2 linked regions of the Ovis aries genome follow. The protein of the gene in region 1 interacts with the protein of each later gene in a biochemical or structural test. Links are inferred from orthologs where the notes say so. Each region holds a gene or a part of one and is shown in the gene's direction. Other genes may lie near its edges. The genes, in order: NMUR1 and NMU.

Evidence for each region.
Region 2: the proteins of NMUR1 (region 1) and NMU form a complex in vitro, tested with the Homo sapiens proteins (2 studies listed by BioGRID). The link is inferred for Ovis aries from reciprocal best matches to the Homo sapiens genes NMUR1 and NMU.

The regions. Positions count from the first base shown.
Region 1 is NC_056055.1:233,280,956-233,284,763, reverse strand, and holds part of NMUR1 (neuromedin-U receptor 1), read left to right. Parts: intron 1-701; coding exon 702-1,084; 3' UTR 1,085-2,395; intron 2,396-2,949; 3' UTR 2,950-3,808. UniProt on the Homo sapiens protein: Receptor for the neuromedin-U and neuromedin-S neuropeptides.
Region 2 is NC_056059.1:71,782,895-71,786,802, reverse strand, and holds the start of NMU (neuromedin-U), read left to right. Parts: upstream 1-1,578; 5' UTR 1,579-1,676; coding exon 1,677-1,785; intron 1,786-3,908.

The DNA.
Region 1 (3,808 bases):
GGGGGCCAGTGTTCATCGTGTGCGTGTGTGTGTGCGTGTGTGTGTGTATGTGGGTCAGTGTTCCATCGTGTCTGTGTATGAGGACCAGTGTTCATTGTGTGTGTGTATGGGGGGGCGGTGTTCATCGTGTGTGTGTGTGTGTATGTGGGTCAGTGTTCCATCGTGTCTGTGTATGAGGACCAGTGTTCATTGTGTGTGTGTCTGTGTGTCTGTGTGTGTGTATGGGGGCCAGTGTTTATCATGTATGTGTGTATCTGTGTGTGCGTGTATGGGGGCCGGTGTTCATTGTGTGTGTGTGTCTGTCTGTGTGTGTGTATGGGGGCCAGTGTTTATCGTGTGTGTGTGTGTGTGTGTGTTTGTACTGTCCTCTGACCACAGGCCCCATTCTCCTGCTTCTCCCTGCTTATGCATCAGCGCGCATGGGCTCCCGAGTGTCACCAGAGGGGTCCTTAGCCGCACTGTGTCACACACTCAGTTCCAGTTCCACGGCGAGAGAACCGGACCAGGCCAGGCTTGGCTCGGGTGTCCACGGCTGGTCCAGGGCACAGCCCACTGGTCAGTCAGTGGCAGTGGCTCAAGAGCAGCCTCTCCTAAAGGTGCGCGGTCAGGGCAGACTTCCAGAAGCTTCCAGCTGGACCGTGGGCATGGGTGGCCTGTGGGAGAAGCATGGAGGTGAGAACAGGTGCCCTCTCTGCCCGCAGTTGTGCTGGTCGTGGTGTTTGGGATCTGCTGGGCCCCGTTCCACATTGACCGACTCATGTGGAGCTGCGTGTCCCCCTGGACCGAGGGCCTGCTCCTGGCCTTCCAGTATGTGCACGTCATCTCTGGAGTCTTCTTCTACCTCAGCTCGGCCGCCAACCCTGTGCTCTACAGTCTCATGTCCACCCGCTTCCGGGACGCCTTCCGGGAGGCCCTGTGCCCAGGGACCCAGTGCCGCAGCCGCAGAGCCCACCACAGCTCCTACAGCCTCAGCAGGGTGACCACGGGCAGCACCCTGGGTGACATGGGCTCCCCGGGCAGCCAGGCCCAGCCTCTGGCCGAGAATAGTGGCCCAGGGGGCCAGCAAGGGACGCACCCCTCCTGAGAGGAGCCTCATGCTGCTTCACCCCAAGGGGCCAGAAGGTCACACCCAGCTTTGAGGGGGCCACACCTGCCTCTTCTGCAGGCTATCCTCTGTCCCTCTTCCCCACTTCGGCCTAGTAACTCTGACTGACACCTGACTACTGCCCCCACCCATGTATTGGAACGATTATAAGGTTGCTGTCTGCTCTCCAGACCCCTGGGCCTCCTGGTACAGCCCTGCCCTGGTAGGAACATCATGGCTGGTTAACTGGGCATGGGAAGACTCCATCTGGGGGTTCCCCCACCCACCCCCAGTTTCTGAAGTGTTTCCGGGGCGGTCCTTCCTCTCCTTTCCATTTCTTGCTGAGCTTCCGGTTCTGGTCCACTTTGCCCCCTCTAGCTCTGGGTGCACTTGGGAACTTGTGCCCTTCCTCTGACCCAAGCCCTCCCCAGCCCCAGTTGACTTATTCTGCTCTGGGATTTCCACCTGGTGGAGCCGCTAGGTGGCAGGTGTGCCTGGGATCCAAGGGACCTGCTTCCAATCTCAGCTGTGCTGCCACCTCCTGCGCAAACACCACCACCACCACCGCCCCCACCCCCCCACCCCGCCCCTGCTGCCCAGCATCAAGCAAATTGCCTCTCCTTACATGCCTGGGTCCCTTATTTGCAAAACAAAAGAGACCCTGACACTCTGGAGCATCGCACTTTGGCACTTCAGCTGGTTTTCTGTGTGGGTGCAGAAGTCACTGTTGGTAACAGATACCCTCAGATTAACAAGGTGGAAATTACACTTCACATCCTCACTACCTTCAACCTTTACTCCTGCCCTGACCCCTACAAGCTCCCCACCCCACCTCCTCCAGAGCCACCCAAAGAACATTCTTTGATTGTCCTAGAGAAAGTGAGACTTGGCACCGACTGAGGGACCATGTGTGTGAGCAGAGGCCCCTGCCTGCCTCCATTCTCACCTCCTCACGTGCTGGCTTGGGGACCTGAGATGAGCGGAGCATTGGGCCTGACTGGCCAGAAAATCTCTGGGGACAAGAGACATGGGCCACCCAAGGACAAAGGGTGCCCTGTGAGGACTGCTTGGGGCTCCGTGAAGTGAGAAGAGGGTGCATGCGTGCTCAGTCGTATCTGACTGTTGGAGACCCCACAGACTGTAGCCCACCAGGCTCTTCTGTCCATGGGATTCTCCAGGCAAGAATACTGGAGTGGGTTGCCATGCCCTCCTCCAGGGGATCTTCCTGACCCAGGGATCGACCCGGTGTCTCCTGCATCTCCTGCACTGCAGGCAGATTCTTTCCTGCCGAGCCACTAGGAAAGCCCTGAGGTGAGAAGAGAGACGGGCTAAGTCCTGAAATGAAGCTCATGCTGACTCCCCGTGGATCGCTGGGTGCTCAGCCAGGACTCAGTTCACGGCCAGAACTTGTCCTGCCACAGTGCCCAGCCCGTTCTCCTCCCCAGGGGGAACTGCAGCAGGAGGAACCCTGGCCTCCCTGGCGAGGGGCTGCAGGGGCTCTCCCTGCAGACTCTCCCCAGCTCAGGCCCCTGGCCCCCTGACTGCAAAGTGGAGGAGACTGTACAAAATGTTCTGGGGTTTTTGAAATTCAATTGTAAAAACAATACTCATTTTAGAAAATTGGAAATTACAAATGAGTGAAAACGAAAGCAGTTTAAAGTAATTAAAAACCACCCTTGCTAGGGGATGAGAGGGAGGGGGAAATAGTTGTTTAATGGGTACAGGGTTTCAGTTTGAAAGTTCTGGAGATTGGTTGCAAACCAATGTGAATATACTTGAATAATATTGAATTATACACTTAAATGGTTAAGACGGTAAATTGTATATGTATTTTACTACAGTTTTTTTTTTTTTTTTTTTTTAAGGAAGGATTAAGCCTAAAGGAAAAGAAAAAAAAAAGTCACCTGTAGCTTTACTCTCCAGAGGTAACCACCATATATAAGACAGGATGGGCAAATTTGAGAAGGGAGCTTGTGTAAAGGGGCTGTGCAGAGCCACGAGGACCCAATGTCGTCTCTGAAATGAGCTCCCCGGAGGCCTTGGGGTGGCGCTGGGGGAGGCGGCAGACGCCAGACTTCAGGCTGGAGCCTGCTATTGTTCCCACAGACTAACTGGACTCCCTGGAGCCTCTCTTAAGTGATGGTCAGAGCTGACGTGCTCCTGAGGCTTTGGTCAGTATTTGTGAAGGGCCAACTATGGGCAGAGAAGCCCTGGGCAGATGGGGGAACGTAGGGGAGGTGAGTTATCAGAAGACCTGGGCTCTTAGTGTAAATTCGGTGTACGTCTCTCGAGTGTCTCCATAACACGTCAGTGGGTAGGTCCCATTTGTCATGAGTCACTGGTTACCATGGAAAGTGGAAACAGCCGCTCTGGGCTCAGCCCTTGAGAAATGAGTGGAGGTGGAAAGGCCAGCCGGCAAGATCCCAGTCTCTCCTGGATGCAGGGTCTTCTGCAGCTTGCTCTGCTCTTCTGCATGGTCAGGCTGGTAGGGGAGGTGGGGTGCGCGGCAGCATTGCCAAGTGCCCAGTGCTACTCCCAGGACAGGAGTGCTGGCTCCTCTGGGGCTCGAGTCACCTCCTGTCCTGGCTACAGTCATACACATTCCTCCCCCTCCTTGTTCAAGAGGCTGGGCCCTCTCTGCTTCCCGTCTCCTCCTCTCCTGCTGTGATACTGGGTGATGCTGAAGCCCACGTGGACAGTCCTCTGCGACCCTGGCATCTGCTC
Region 2 (3,908 bases), on another chromosome or scaffold:
GATTTTCCCAACCCAGGGATCAAACCCAGTTCTCCCACATTGCAGGCAGATTCTTTACCAGTTGAGCCACAAGGGAAGCCTGATATCCTTGGGTGGATTGTTTAATATCTCCAAGCTCATCAAGTGAGAATCATAATAAAGTACTTTCACATCCCCGAGATGCCATGAATATTAAATGCATAGCATGGGAAGGTGCCTGACATAAAGATGTCCCTTAAGAAATGTTAGTGTATTTCCTTTTCTACCCTTCCCTCAGCGTTCCTTTCAAAAGGAGGTCAAATAAGATCCCTCTTCCTTGTTTCTGGAAGAGGAAATTAAGGCCACATCAGCTAGTGCGCTGGAGAAGTCTGTTTCATGGATATTTCCCCCTAGGAAGGAAACTGCAGAGAGGGATAATAGAAGTCAGGTCACTCTGGAAATCAGAATGCAACTGCTAGGAAGTGACAGCAGGAGAAATGCACAGAAAGGAAGGTGTTACCTTGAGGCTTGCAATTCCGCAGGAGAGTCAAGACCTTCCAGAACTTAGAAAGGTCTATGTGGTCAAGCCTCAGCAGTCCTTTTTTTTTTTTTTTTTTTAACTGTCTTTAACAGACAACTGCTTTCCCCTAAAAGATCTCAGACCTGATAGGAATTTGGGGAACACCATCCCTGGTGCCTTAGAGGGTAAAGAATCTGCCGGCAATGTGGGAGACCTGGGTTCTATCCTTGGGTTGGCAAGATCCCTTGGAGGAGGGCATGGCAACCCACTCCAGTATTCTTGCCTAGAGAATCCCCATGGGCAGAGGAGCCTGCCGAGCTACAGTCCATGGGGTCGTAAAGAGTCGCGATTGAACGACTAAGCACAGCACCACCTTCCCTGGTGGCTCAGTCGGTAAACAATCTGCCTGCAGTGCAGGAGGCCCAGTTTCGATCCCTGAGTTGGGAAGATCCCCTGGAGAAGGAAATGGCAACCCACTCTGGTATTCTTGTCTGGAAAATTCCATGGACAGAGGAGACAGGTGGGCTGCAGTCCATGAGGTCGCAAAGATCGGACATGACTGAGCGACTAACACTAACTATCCACCATGAGCCAGTACTGCTCTAAGATTCCCTGGGCGTGTACCAAGAGCTGGGGATGAACAGGGCAACAGAACAGAAGTGCTTGCACCGAGGTGGCTCCTGGAGCTCTGGACAAGAGGTGCCGCACAGTCGGGTGGGGCAGAGAAGGCTTTCCGGGGAGGGTGCAGACGGGTCGTCTCTGGCAGAGCATCGCCACCACCAAGTGTAAAAGCCGGGATACCAGCCTCTGCTGGCCGCCTGGTTTGCATTCCCCTCCGGCTCCCCTTCAGTGCTTCCAAAGAAGGGAATAGACATGCTTCATTTTAATTCTATGACCCTCCATTCCAGAGACCCTAGGGCGAGGAGGGTGAAAGATGCATGGTACCCTGAGTCAGAAACTCGTGCATGGGGTGCGGGGTGGGGCGGGTTGCGAGTGACGCGAGGAAGGCCGGGGGCGGGAGGTGACGCGCGCGCGGGGACCTAGCCGCCTCAGCTCACGTGTCCGCGAGATTTAAAAGTTGGCAGCGCGTGGGGCGGTCTGTCTGGACGCGGAGCCGGGAGAACAGCGCGCCGGGGACGCGGAAGCTCAACCGGAGCACTGCTCGGAGCGCGCGGCAGGTGCAGCGCAGGGTCCCGGGATGCTGCGAGCCGCGAGCCGTCGCCCCGAGCCGCCGGCGGGGCATGTGGCCGCCGGGTCCCCGCTCCTGCTGCTGCTACTGCTGTCTTGTTGCGCGGACGACTGCGGAGGTAAGAGGACCCCGCGCCCCCTGGGACACCCGCGCCGCGTCCAGTCCAGTGCCTCCTCTCCCCGCTCCGTTCCTCGATCTCTTATCTCCTTTTCTCGTCTTTACTCTTGGCTGGTGGGATTTGCCACACCTTCGTGCCGCGGCGCACGGGTCGCCACCTCAGGGTAGCCAGGGCGCACGTGTCTGTGGCCCGGCTCGAGCCTGGACCTGGGCCTGGGGGAATCTCGCAAGCCGGGCAGCCCCCTCAGACTCGGGATGTCCAGCCCGCTTGATTTATGGGTAACGGGAGTTAAAACAGTGAAAATTAAAATGCTCTTCCTTTGATTGCAATTACTGGAGGGATTGACAGTGAAGCAAAACTAGAGTGGGTGTGATGCGAGGTCAACTTGGAAAGTGCTCACCTTTCTTGGTGAGTGAGCTCCAGGACTGTTCAGGCAAGCCTGAGCAGTAACAAGCCCCTTTCTAGCAGAATGGAAAGGGAGAGCGTGGGCTCTGTGCTTCGATAGTAACAAGGACTTCTGTGCCTCACTTAGAGGAAGTGAAAGTGTTAGTTGCTCGGTCGTGTCCGACTCTTTGAGACCCCACGGAGAGTAGCCCGCCAGGCTCCTCTGTCCTTGGGATTCTCCAGGCAAGAATACTGGAGTGGGTTGCCGTTTCCTCCTCCGGGGTATCTTCCCGACCCAGGGATTGAACCTGGGTCTCCTGCATTGGCAGGCAGAATTCTTTACCATCTGAACCACCAGTGAAGCCGTGGCCTAGAGGGAAGATGGGGGGAAAGCAAAAGCAAGGTCTGGAAGGGGTGTCCGAATCTTGGGACTTGGGGTAGGGTAGATATAACCTGTTCCAGTGGAAAAGATCACTTCCCTGCTCCCTTAAGGTTACCTTTCCAAGTAGCCTGAGGGGACCATCCCTCATCTCCCAGCTTTGAGCTAGGGCCCTCCTGGGCCAGCGGTAGCCCTACTAAGATCTTGAATTTTCTAGATCCGCAACGGGTCCCCTTAGTTTCCCTCTGCTCTCCTCTCAGTCCTGTAAGGGAGGGCCGTTTCATCATTGTCCGTAATGTTAGGACTTGAAGCGATTAGTGTGGGAACCTTCCCTAACCTGTAGCCCAGCCCCCTTTTAGAGGTGGGGGAACTGACACATCATTCTTTTCCTAATAGAGCTATTTTTATTGCTGTCCTTTCATTGTTTTCCCCCTTTCCTTGGGGCATTTGAGATTCAGAGAGGTGGGGACTCCTCGGCTTGAAAAGCAGGGTAATTTGGTTGTGAAATGTAAGCAGTAGAAGCTAGGAGACCTAAACCTTCTCCATTGCATATTCAGCAGCGATACAGCATGCCTTTTGCAAAGTCACGTTCATCTTTTTCCGTTTTAAATTTGTTATTGGTAAAATTAAGATGGTCGCTTTTATCTACCTTATTCAGAAAGCAGATGGTCACAGTTTAATTTTTTCTCTGCGAAGCAAATATACTTTCCATGATGTTAAGTACTATATGCTTGCAGTGAATTTTGCATCAGTGAGAGAGAACTTTTAGCAGGGAGATACAGGGGAATTTTCAGGCTACTGGTGATTGGGCAGAAACTACAGGAAGCAGCAGCCATTTTCTAAAAACAGCAAGTTTTGGGTGTTGTTTCCAAAAGAGGGTATCTACTGGTTGACCAATCATCTCTTAAATATCCCCACTGTTTCTCAAGTTAAGGGATGAGATACCTCTTTCCCTACACAGAAATCCCCCTAGACTACCCTTTTGTGTCTTCTTTCCCCTTCAGACCTGCTGTTAATACTAAAAAATTAATTTTATCTCTCTAAAAATGTGATGAGAAGGGAAGAGGGTGCATTTACTCTCATCTGATCTGCCCTGGTGATCTGCTATATTCCTGAGCCCTGACAATTAGCACTGGAGGGGAAGCTTGACATACAGAAGCGAAGCCGGGAGACAATCCACCAAGGTTAATCATTATGCAAGGTGCAAGTGGATGTATCAAAAAAACAAAGCAAATGCCACAAAGCCGGGTCGGGGTGGGCGGGGTCGGGGGGGGGCCGGAATTGTGTCAATAAGTGTAGCATCCTCAGCAAAAATGTGTTAGCAGAGCTGCAATGGCAATAAAAAGGTAAAGGGCCAGCC